3 linked regions of the Tribolium castaneum genome follow. The protein of the gene in region 2 purifies or fractionates together with the protein of the main gene of each other region. This does not show direct contact. Links are inferred from orthologs where the notes say so. Each region holds a gene or a part of one and is shown on either strand. Other genes may lie near its edges.

The links. Proteins that work in one complex are often made in the same cells at the same time.
Region 1: the proteins of Ran (region 2) and akirin purify together in Homo sapiens (affinity purification with mass spectrometry; 3 studies listed by BioGRID and IntAct, counting the BioPlex papers as one, with this or other methods). This does not show direct contact. The link is inferred for Tribolium castaneum from reciprocal best matches to the Homo sapiens genes RAN and AKIRIN2.
Region 3: the proteins of Ran (region 2) and Nup153 purify together in Homo sapiens (affinity purification with mass spectrometry; 5 studies listed by BioGRID and IntAct, counting the BioPlex papers as one, with this or other methods). This does not show direct contact. The link is inferred for Tribolium castaneum from reciprocal best matches to the Homo sapiens genes RAN and NUP153.

What each region holds. Positions count from the first base shown.
Region 1 is NC_087398.1:5,661,504-5,665,455, reverse strand, and holds the start of akirin (akirin), read left to right. Parts: upstream 1-1,148; 5' UTR 1,149-1,393; coding exon 1,394-1,586; intron 1,587-3,952. UniProt on the Homo sapiens protein: Molecular adapter that acts as a bridge between a variety of multiprotein complexes, and which is involved in embryonic development, immunity, myogenesis and brain development.
Region 2 is NC_087395.1:25,444,938-25,449,021, forward strand, and holds the start of Ran (GTP-binding nuclear protein Ran), read left to right. Parts: upstream 1-1,275; 5' UTR 1,276-1,407; intron 1,408-4,084. UniProt on the Homo sapiens protein: GTPase involved in nucleocytoplasmic transport, participating both to the import and the export from the nucleus of proteins and RNAs. Switches between a cytoplasmic GDP- and a nuclear GTP-bound state by nucleotide exchange and GTP hydrolysis.
Region 3 is NC_087394.1:31,197,839-31,201,897, reverse strand, and holds the start of Nup153 (nuclear pore complex protein Nup153), read left to right. Parts: upstream 1-1,255; 5' UTR 1,256-1,369; coding exon 1,370-1,438; intron 1,439-1,668; coding exon 1,669-2,218; intron 2,219-3,827; coding exon 3,828-4,059. UniProt on the Homo sapiens protein: Component of the nuclear pore complex (NPC), a complex required for the trafficking across the nuclear envelope. Functions as a scaffolding element in the nuclear phase of the NPC essential for normal nucleocytoplasmic transport of proteins and mRNAs.

The DNA of each region.
Region 1 (3,952 bases), on a different chromosome or scaffold from region 2:
AAGGTGACTCGAAGTCGTTCAGGATTTCTTCTAATATCGGTTTAGAATTAAGTGGCGATGTCTAAATGTGACCCTTAGCCCAGTGTTGAATATTGTTTCTTTCTCGCTCGAAATCATGAAAATACTCGTCGCAAGTCAATTATCAAAACGTATCATTGTTTGACTTGTTTCTGGCGCTAGCTGTGATATGTTAAAAAATCCTGGACGCGCTTCAGCCGTTGCTAGTTTTTAAGGGAGATAATATACTTGTGATTTCTTGTTAAAATTTCTAAATTCTAGTAATCGTAAGTGTTCAGTTGAACGGTACAATGGGGTCGACTAAAAGCAAGGATGTTGTAGAACTACGACTTATGATATCTTAATACGCTTTTGAGCTGTGTTCGTGTTGAACAGGGTTTTGTGCAGATTAGACAGTTTTTAAATGAACCACTCACATTGTTGTTTATTCCGTGCCTCTTACGTTTGAAACACACTGCACACAGACGTGTGCGAACGGTTTTTGGTTCCGTCACCGGTTTTTCTTTGACAATAATATTTAGCTTGGTTTGTTGTAGGAATCTGGCAAAGTCCTATGCTATACAAAATATCAGCTCTGTACATTTTAATATATATGCCAAATATTATTAAGAGCTAAGTATAATATATAAATTGGATAGTATATTTTATGTTAAGATTTAAGATTATGTGATTTTATTGTTGAGGCATATTGGTATCATATTTGGATAAAAAGTATTTAATAAAAAAATGTCTATATTACACGGATTTGCTTTCTTTCAGCCCTCAGTTAAGATTAGTATCTTTAAAAACTGATTATTTTTAAACACTGGACTTTATTTTTGCATAGTTTTTTTTTTGCCGAACGCACTTTTTTGATTCACTACCCCCTACCCCCAGGTGTTGCGCCACCACTGGCAAGAAACAAGTAACAATTCGGTTCTTTTCAAAGCAAAAGCAACAGTAACGTGCCTAAAAATGGCATAAGGTAGCAAGCGATTTCATGATACATTCGTTTTAGCCGTTGTTAGACGGAAATTTGCGTAATTGCCTTTAAATTAGCCCAATTAATTTTGAAAAAACGCGAAGATCTTTGGTCCCGGGAGATGTCGCCAGGGTACAAAGCATGCGCAGAGTCGCGCAAGCCAATGGTAACCGTATATTCATCACAGCCCACTCTGCCGTTCACAAAATGTCACTTCTCTTATTTCGTTTCGCCATATTGGTCGTTGGGTGCGCATGAAATCGTCGACCATTCCCCTTTCATGGACAAGTTTCGGGGTAAAAGTACCGCTGCATAAGTGTCCAAGTGCAATTTCGGTTTTGTACATAGCAAATTCGCGATAGCCTGTGAAACAAAGTTTGTTTTGTGTGTGAAGTGTTAGCGACAGAACTAAAAATGGCGTGCGCTACTCTGAAACGTTCCTTGGATTGGGAGCCCGTGCTGGGGGGCCGTCCGGCCAAACGCAGGCGCTGCATTCCCTTCTGCGAGAGCCCCACGCACAGAGACAGGGCTTCGCCTCCGGCCACCTCCTCCTCCCCCAAGCCCAAGTCCGTCTTTCCCGATGTCGTCAGCCAAAAATTGACCCCTGGTAAGTGGACAGGGCCGGCCTAAGGGCCTTTGCGGTTGTTGACACTCGGTCTCAGCTGATCGCCGATAAAGGAATGACGTCCGAGGGACTTTTTACAGGACCGATTTTAATTCCGTGTTAATTGCTTATCTTGCTCGAATTCGTTGGAGCATCGTGATTTTAGAAATTGAGGTTATCCGCTCGTGTTATCTCAACGTTTTTAGGTTATTTTTGCCGATTTAACCAAATCTGGGTGCGGGTATATTGATTTTGGAGCGGAGGGGAGCGAGGACATTAAATTTTATAATTGGGGCTTACAGGCTCTCACGCTTTGGATGCCTGGATTCGATTAGAGTTTTATGGGAAATTTCATGACCGATCGAGGAATACATAAATCTTCCATGATTTGAGTCATAATTTTTTCATAGCTAACTGTAATAATGAAAGATACTTAAGATTTTATTGTGATATTTAGAAGCTTGAAGATAAAACTTAAGTTGAGCTTGTACCAACATGACTTCCTAGATTGTGAGCCACGTTAAAAACGCACGTATTTTTTTGTCATTCTATTTCCACTTTTTTTGAGCCGACAAATTTCACTAAATAACGAAATTGGTGGTACGAGTATATTTTTTTAAGAGAAATGCCAGATCACAAAGGATTATCTTTTCAGCCCTCAGTTAAGATTAGTATCTTTAAAAACTGATTATTTTTAAACACTGGACATTTATTAACCTTTATTTTTGCATAGTTTTAGTTTTTTTTTGACGAACGTATTTTTTTGATTCACTACCTCCTACCCCCAGGAGTTGCGCCACCACTGGCAAGAAACAAATAACAATTCGGTTCTTTTCAAAGCAAAAGCAATTTATATTTTTTTAGGGGAAATGCCGGATTACAAAGGATTATCTTTTCACTAAAATAAACTTCAAACAACTTGACATCAAATAATTATTATTTTTCGTATTATTGGTAACATGGTGACTATTTTTAGAGTTAAAAAAAGTCTCTGTAGAAAGAATGTTGTACCATTTTTTTAATAAAATTTATTTTCATTACCTGTTTTATGTTAGAGCGTGCTTAAAAGCTTTTTTAATGAAGTCATTAAAGCTTATACATGTTCTCTTGAAAACAAAATATATTGACCTCATATTTTGTATCAGCTCGTAAAGCTCGTTTCAGACATGCTTGAACAAAATTTAATTTGTAACACAGTTACAAATTAAATTTTTCTATCATCTTGTTTGAATCACATATAAATGAAGTTATAAATTGTGTTAACACTTTTGTTAGTATGATTCTGATTTAGTTATTATCTTTATTAAATGCTGATGCGTACAATTTTTCGATTTTTTATATAGGATGGTAAAATAATCTAGTAATAAAACAAAAGTAAATACAACAATAATTTTATTAGAAACATTAATCGATTTGATTAGTATTTTCATTGTCATCATTCATTTACCTTTTTTGTTGTTGAACTGTTATAAAATAATTTGTGCCAAGAAAGATTAAACAAATAAACAATACGTTAATTGTTTTGTGTATGCGTAAGTATCTGAACATAATATGAAAATAAGGGGATAGGGGAAAACACCAGTTTTAAATTGAATCATTTTTGGAGGGAACGTAAAAATTTACAAGAATTATACTACTTAAAGTCAGCTTATTAGGAAGCATTACTACGAAAGAGATGTCAAAGACCTTTTCTGTGAAAATATTAAGTCGCAGGTATAAAGGTGCTGTTTGAAAATCAATGTGTTATGGAATGGTTTTCTTGTTTTTTTTTGTAATTAATTAATATATTGTTTTTTGAATGTATGATAATGTCTTAGGCTGAGCATAAACCTAACAATTGTTTAAAATTCAAAAAAACTATTTGTTGTTTTCTAAATTGTACTGGATTTCGAACTTTATATTTTATATCAGTTGCTACGGTTGAAATAAATCCATTGTAAACACACATTTTGTTGTTTTATTTATTTAAAATTTAAATAATAGTACGAAATATAAGTAATAATTTAGTAAATTTTAAAATTAAATACATATACAGTTTTGTTTGGATTTAAAGACCAATGATTTCGATGTTTTGTCCGAAATCTGACTTCCTGGAAAAATATTCCCATTTATCTTATCAGCATTATTTGAGAGTTTGGGTTTAGGATGCTTTTACTGCCCGTAATCTGGTAATTTTTCGAAGCACTTGGTAATGGTAGTTGGTCGTAAAGGGATAAGAGATGGGTAAAAGCTCATCCCGACTTAGAAGGACACCTGTGTCTAGATTCGCGGATAGTGACGTTGTGGCTGTGTCTCTAGGGTTTTTTCTGAAAATTTTACGGCTTTGTAAATTGAATTAAATGTGCCACTGCGTGACTGGTGGGTCATAA
Region 2 (4,084 bases):
AAGTTGGTGCCCACCCGCCCTATGAGCGGCTTTCTCTCCGGCTCTTGTACCTTTTTAGGTGGCATGATCTGCAACACGAGCAACAAGACCGAATTAAACCACCTTTTAGATAAGGTCACGAGTTGGCATTCTGCGCCTTTTTCGTCCATTTTCCGATATGCAAATCGTCGGTTATGCGTTCAAATAATAACACACATCACCGACTGCAACTTAATTTGCACAAAATAGCAATTTTCAATCTGATACCGAAATTGTAACTTAGGGACTTTGCAGAGCGTTCAGCATTTTTAAAAAAGCACTACATAATAATAAGCTCACCGTTCCATAGGCTACAATTTCGAATTTACCATCAATTCCTACTTTCATATTAATGTAATTTGCCACACAGCGCCCCAGGCCCTTAAATCCGCCGTTATAATTTCGAAATTTCGCTGATTTAATCAATTTTTTACTAAAACAAGAACCGTCTCAAATTTCAACCAAATTCGAAAACGCCGCGACCCGTCATCACGCAAACCACCGCCAGGTGGCGACAAGGACCCACACACGATTTAACCCACAAAAACATAATTCCCGCAAAAACGCGACTAAACATTACGCAAAACAAACTTTTTTGTCATCTAATCCCCAAATAAGCAAAACAACAGCGAGACATGAACCCGATCGGCCCAAAAAACACGTGAAAGTTGCATAACCTCAAAGCCATTCTGTCGTTTTTTACCGCAAGACAAAGCCATTAATCGGAATTTTTTTTACACCGATCCATTCATACACTCGCACTACTCACCTCGATAAGGTCTAAAAGTGTTTTTGTTAAAGAATCAGAAAAACTCACAACACTACACAATCACCGGTAACCTATATTTTGACAGATAAGCGATCTTTTTTTAGGTTCGACGCCCGGCTAAAAGGTGGGCAAAAAAATAAAATTTTGATTTGTTAGCACATTTTCCCAAACGAATCATTCACTAATTATTGATTACTAATTAAAAAAAAACCTGATTATAAAATATCTGTAGCTCCCCCCCAAGCAGGTGTTACTCAATTGTTTAAATGCAAAATTCCCAAGGACACTTTCAACCCCTCAACTAATTAATTATTTTCTCATTAAATCTCTACGGAATTGTAAAAAAAAATATTTGGACAAAGTTGGGTAAGACCTACGAAGAACTCTTAAGACAAAATATATTTTTTATTAATGAATTAATTAAATTTGTTCCTGATCGACGTTCGATCGTTTTTTGTTTTAAATAAAAAATCCCCAAATGCAAATTTGACAACTTGACATTTGCAATTATTTGTTTGTGTGAAAAGTGGGACAAAAATGCAAATTTGAGGTGAAAAAGTGTGTTTTGTGCCAAAATTTCGTGTTTACTGAGTCTCTGGTCCTTCGCTGTGTGTGCTTTGGTGAGTGAAACTCAAAAAAAATTAGTTATAATGAACCCGGCTTTTAACAGACGCTCGGATATAACAAACAAAATTATAAGTCCCGTTTTAAAGTCCTATACCTATTGTAGTAACAAACTGGTTCGGTTTTAACGAACAAACAAACATCACTTTTAACGTCCAATATTTAGGCAAAAATACAGTGGCGTCCGTTTATAACGAACCCATTCATAACACACTTGATTGAGTTGTTGCTGAATTAACGCATAGGAAAGGTAAAATCTTGGCCATTTTCGACCAAATCTGGTGATTTTTTCGTTCCACTTTAATAAAAACAGGAAGAAAACCTTGATTTTTGGTCTAAAAACATGTTAAAATTCTCAGAACTTGCAAAAATAATGTCATTTTTGACATAAGTCTTTGATTTATTGAGAAATTTTGCACAATAATGAAGTTTTTGCTGAATAAACGCTTAGGAAAGATAAAATCTTGGTCATTTTCGACCAAATCTGGTGATTTTTTCGTTCCACTTTGATAAAAAACGAAAGGAAATTTTGATTTTTGGTCTAAAAATGTGTTTAAATTTTCAGAACTTGTAAAAATAATGTCATTTTTTACATAATTCTGTGATTTATTGGTTTACTTTTTAAGAAATTTTGCGCAATTATTGAGTTTTTGCTGAATAAACGCTTAGAAAAGGTAAAATTTTGCTGATTTCCGACCAAATTTGGTGATTTTTTCACTTTAGTTTAAGAAAAACATGAAGAAAACCTTGATTTTTGCTCTAAAAACGTGCTTAAACTTTCAGAACTCGTCATTTTTGACATAATTCTGTTATTTATAATTGAGTTATTGCTGAATAAACGCCTAGGAAAGGTAAATTTCTGGTCATTTTCGACCAAACTCTAAACTCGGACTTATCGGACTTATTTGCCTTATTATCATAATATGTAATATTTTTTAATAAGTCTATTTATACTTTATTTCCTGTATCTATTCCAAACTTTGGAACTCCTTTAACTTGAAAATTGTTCTTTGGGTGTTCGTTATGACCGCGTTCCACTGAATTGTTGATTTTGCTATTGCCCACCTTGTGTGTTTGCGCCAAGTAGAAAATTGCGAAAATTTGTTTGTTTGCGAGTAAATGCGTCTTAGAAATAGTATAGAATTACGTATTCCGGAGCAGTTGATTTCCATTTGGGTCCCGGAGCATAGAATGAGCATCGAATCGCACAATTACCGTATGAAGACATCAAAGCGATCGGAAAGCTCACAGGTTATTCAGGAAACCGCAATTGTTGCAAGTGAAGTGCACAAAAGCTTCACCTACAATAGCATTCGCCACATCCGGAATGTCGTAGCTTTTGGTCCTCTGTGTCGTCGTCGATATAATAAAGTATTGCGTTACTCTTAGCCTCGCCGACAGGAAACTGCAAACGTTATTCTGTCATTTTACGAGCCAGCATTTCAAAAAAGCCCATTCTTTGCAAAACATGTTCATTGGACGGGGGCCCTTGGGCCGCTGCCAAGCCTAATTCGCCATAAAAGTAATGAGTCGCTGCCTCATGATATACATTGTCAAAGAAATAAAAGTTTCTGCCTTTGGGGGCCAAATCAAGACCCGGCTCGCTCTTTTATCACTATAATCAGGCCGCCAGCGCCAAGATGGCCAACATCTCGACCACCACGTGAACAATAAGACGGCTCTGATTTTATAAAACTTTTCGGAAAAATTGCGATTTTTTTTTGTTTGAACGAAGCAACTTCCGAGGGTGCTTCCGGTGCACTGTGTGGCACGGGGCGCGATGCAGCTGTGGGGGGCGGAACGAGACCCGCCGCCGGAGAGGACGTCACCTCCTCTAACACATGGTCGCGTCACAATGTGACGGCTTCTTGTTATTTTATATCGGTAAATGTATTAGCGGAGATGGACGGCCTACTCGTTTCATTGCGACAGGGGTGGACACGCGCCCTTGTTTGCCCCAAACAGACCCCCACGAGAGCGACAACAGTATGGAAAAAAATCTTATTCAATTGTACGAAAATGTGTGCTCACAAAGATGGGACTAAATACTTTCGAGAGATCTTTTTTGAAAACATATTAATCTTCAAATCTCGCTTTAAACCGATTTTTTTTTTGTAATCACAATTTGAGAAACGAAAGGACTCGAAGCAGAAGAGGCTTGTTGATTGGTAAAGTCATAAAACAACAGAAGGTACTAAAATTTTATGAACTGTTGCTCTTTTCGAGCCCTGAAGCCCTTTTTCCACAAGGTTTTGCTAAACCGAACCGAAAAATTAGAAAATTAGATGGAAAACGATTACTTTTTGCTTTTTATGAACTAAAAACTCAGTTTTTTTAATTTTGCTAATGTAAAAATAATAAAATTTTTATTGCAATTTTGACTTTAATTTAATTAAAAGTAACATTATTTATAGGTACATGCGTTTGGTGTGAGAACGATCAGAACTTTTTGATATTTCGGAATTTTTTAAGACGAGCTCACCTAATAATTTAATTGCCTCATTAATTTCAGCAAGTTTTCCAAATTAGAAGTTATTAAAATTGTAAGCTTAGTTCATGGTATTTAAGGTGACAGAACCAGATTTTCATAAATAATTGTCTTCTTTAGGCATTTGAGCACATTTTTAAGTTAAAATTTATAGAAATTTTTTAGTAGATTCTTCTAAATCAAGG
Region 3 (4,059 bases), on a different chromosome or scaffold from region 2:
ATATTTTTTTGATAAAACCATTAACATTATTATTAGTTTAAAAAATATTGGTTACGAAAATGGTATACCTAATTTTGGTATGTTTTCATGCTGAAGTAAATTTCTGTCTCCTGTCACATATGACTGACCATGTAAAAACTCGGTCAACGAAGATCCCTAATCCACTTTAAATCATCAGCAACATATATTGTAAAATGCTGAATATTCATGTTATATAAACTAATCTATAGACATTGAAGGAACTTGCTTCATATGGATTTACTAATAATGTCCGGGAAATACAGGGAATGAATTGCCAAGAATGAATGTCTAATATTTTTACAATTATTGCAGACATTATTTTCTGTGTTTAAATACGTACGTATCATTGATTTTTTGGGAAAGTTCATTACATAAAAAGGCAAGGATAATTTGGAATTTCTATTGATGTGATTGTTTAGATAAACAATTTCGTTGTTAATTGTTACTCTACTCACTATAGTGAATACAGTAAATCAAACTCTCAGTAGGAAGTACTGCAGCCACCTTTTATTTTCTGATTTTTTTCTTCAATAAATTTGCCACAAAATTAAAAAATGCATTTTTTATTTCATAGTGAGAAACAACACAAATACGACTATTGAAATGTACCTAAACCTGCCAGCTTGATGAATTTTCGATTTCAAGAAAATTTTACTTGAGATTTAAAAAAAATTGAATTGTTAATTTTAAATATTGCCGACACGTTAATTTTTTTTTGTGTATTAAACAGTATTTAACATTATCTTAATAATAGTATGTTAAAGGAAGAAATATGTTTTTTATCGCGGCAGGTATAAAAATAGCAGTAAAATTTGATAATGAATTTATTAATAAATATTTGTGATAGGCAACCGCACTAAACACTTGTGTTTTGGCAGTTGCCGCCTTGAAAAAATTTCAATATTAAATTTTTTTGAGGTACTATTTATACGTTTGAAAACTGTAAAAGTTATTCACATTAAATCAAATTGCATGTATTTTTTTGATTTTTTAAAAATTTGTAATTTTTTATAAAAGATATTTGGCAAAAAATATGGTTGTATTTTTAAGGGTAATAAACATTTTTATTAAAATTTTAAATATTTGTTGTTATTTTGTTCAAAAACTTCAAGTAAATTAACAAAATTAATTTAATGATTGAATTCAAAATTTTGAAAAATCAGCGGGAGAGCTTTGTTCCTAAAGCGCCAACTTCGTGTTCTTCGAGGGGGAGCGCGCGCAAAAAGCGGCTAACTTCACACTTGGAGTCCGCCATATTGGATCCTCGTGTGGTGAAAGTTGTCATAGAAATGTGTGATTTTCCAAAATTACTTTATTTGTGTAAAATAGACTAAGAACAATTGTAATTATGGCAAATAATAATAATGAAGGTGCCGAAAACAGTCCAGACAACTCGAAAGATGCAGGATTGGATAAGGTTTGATAAAATGCGTTCTTTGCACATATTCGCGCGTTCTCACCTCTAAATATAGCTATAAAAGTTTCTCACGAAATAGTGTCTTTACACTGCCCAAAAGTCGCCCCAGCACCTCCATGCAACCTGGCAGTGCCACCAGCACGCGTTTTTAACCTTAGTTTCTCGCATTTATTTATTTAACCTTGACGTGTAAGGTAGCTAACAGGTCCTATTTTGAATTTGTCTTGCAGTCGTTCGTGGGCAAGTTCGTGTCGGGGCTTTTCAACAGCACCCCCTTGTCCAAGTGGTTCGGCAAAGACTCGGCGTCCAAGTCGGTCAAGAGGCGGGAGGACGACGACGACGACGACGACGACGACTTTGATGCCTCCTACGTTTTCCAGCCACCAAGCAAACGTGTGAAACTACCGTCTGAAGTGGAACACAACAATTACAGTGCACATATATTTGAATCGCCAGTGACTGTGCATAATGCTTCCAATAATGTTAACAATGTTTCGTCGAAAGTGTTTGGGAAGTTTCCTGAACCGGTGGCGGGGCCGTCGGGGGTTAAATCCCGCAAATTGTTCGACAGACACCGTTCTGCTAGCACAAATACGGTCTCTACCAATTCGTTCGAAAATCAAGAAATTGTTAACGGTGAGAATGACTCTGACAGTGAAGAATCAACTAGTGGCTATTCTTCGGCACCCAAATTGCTTAATCAACCCAAAAGTGCAGAAATATCTCACAAGGAAACATGTGAAAAAGTCACTCCTAAAACTAGGTCCTTGTTTACTTCATGTAAGTTTACGTTACATAATGTTTGTTTTTAGTTTTTTTGCAGTGTTTTCTTAACTTTGGCAACCGTTGGGTACATAATTGTCTCAGGAATACTTTATTATACTTTTAGTATTGTGACTCATGCCAGAAAAATGCACAATATGAAATTACAAATTATCAAAACTCATAAATACGATCCGTTTAAAACCATAAGAAACTGATAATACCACAAATGATTAAATTAAAGTTTTTCTCTTATCAGCAACTTTCATGCTTTTGTATACAAAAAGCAGGTCTCCAGTTACCAAAGTAAGAAAAATGTTTACGCTCATTGCTGTTAGCTAAAGTCTGTAAAAGACCTCTTACATTTATATCATTGCCAGTATCTGCAAGACTCTTATGACGAACATAAGTTGTTTGGGTATGAGGTCAAAGTCTAGTAAAAATTGTATTTATGCAATAAAGGTAAAATAAACTATCTGATCTGTTTATAGGCTTCTAATGAGATATTGATAATTGTATGAAATAAGGTTAAAATACGTACCGATATAATAAACTTGTTATGGTTATTAATGGAACTAGTAATTTCCTTGTTTTGTTTTCTTTTATAATATTTGACCTCTAGGTTAAAGTACAGCATCGCTGTACACACAAAAATGTCATCACTTTCATTATACCTACGTGACGAGCAACAAGTAAATTAGTCACTGTTCTCGTATTGTTAATAAATTTTGTTTTACATTTTTACCTTTTTTTTTAAATTCTTGAAATTCCGGCTCGTCATTTTTGAGCTTGTCTTGACTTTTATCTATTTTTACCATTTATTAATTCACTATTATGAGCACTTTGTTGTCCTTTTTATAATTAAATTCAGAAACCTAAAAAACTCTTTCTTCTACCTTCTTGGGTGAATTTCAAAAATTAGCGTTATAAAAAATTATACACTTATTAGAATATCAGGTTCTATAATAAAATTGCTTTAACAAGAAGATTTAAATAGTTTAAATCTGGACAATATGTCACAAATCGCGTCTATTCAGTTTTTCACTGAGTCTGATATTTTTTCACTGGAATTAATGAAAACGTAAAAAATAATCGTTTGTTGCCGACAGTAGGTCGAGTAAAGATTGTTTTAAAAAAATGGGGAAGAGGAAACGTGATTTTTTTATTTTTTGTTATTAAAAAAAATACAGTTTAGCGAAACACCAGTCTTTACATAATTTGCTTTTCATATTGTGTACTCGGAAAAGGGGAAATAAAATCTTAGTCATGTTCTAAGTCTATGATTTAATTCTTGATGAATCATCTTTGCCAAAATTTGAACCGGTCGAGCTTGATAATGGAAATTATAATACAATGAAAAAATCCATGAGTATTATTCCGGCTTCAAATGCAGACTTGGAGTATTTTTGCTTATTTTTGCTATTTTCAGGATTGAAAATATACAATTTTGAGTACTTTTTATAAAAAAATATTCAAGAGTTGGCAAAAGTATGGACATTATACTTCAAATAGTTATTTAAATTGTGCCACACTCCTTATAAATCATGTGTTTTTATGAATATTATCGGTTTTGTGTTTTCTTTAGGCTTATTAATTAAAAAATTGAAACAATCAATTCGTTTTTTAGCAAACGAATCAAGCGGACGTACTTTATTCTCGGAAAGAAGCCCCAACATGAACACTTCTTTGAGTTCAAGACGGCCATCGTTTAACGCATCGACTTTCGGCTCGCCGAACTTTATTGACAGAACATTGTCTACCAAGAGAATATTGAGCTCACCTTTCTATAGCGGCAATACAATTTATGGCGGCGCCTCTGCATACGGACGTAGGTTAGGTAAAATTAGCGAAGAAACGAA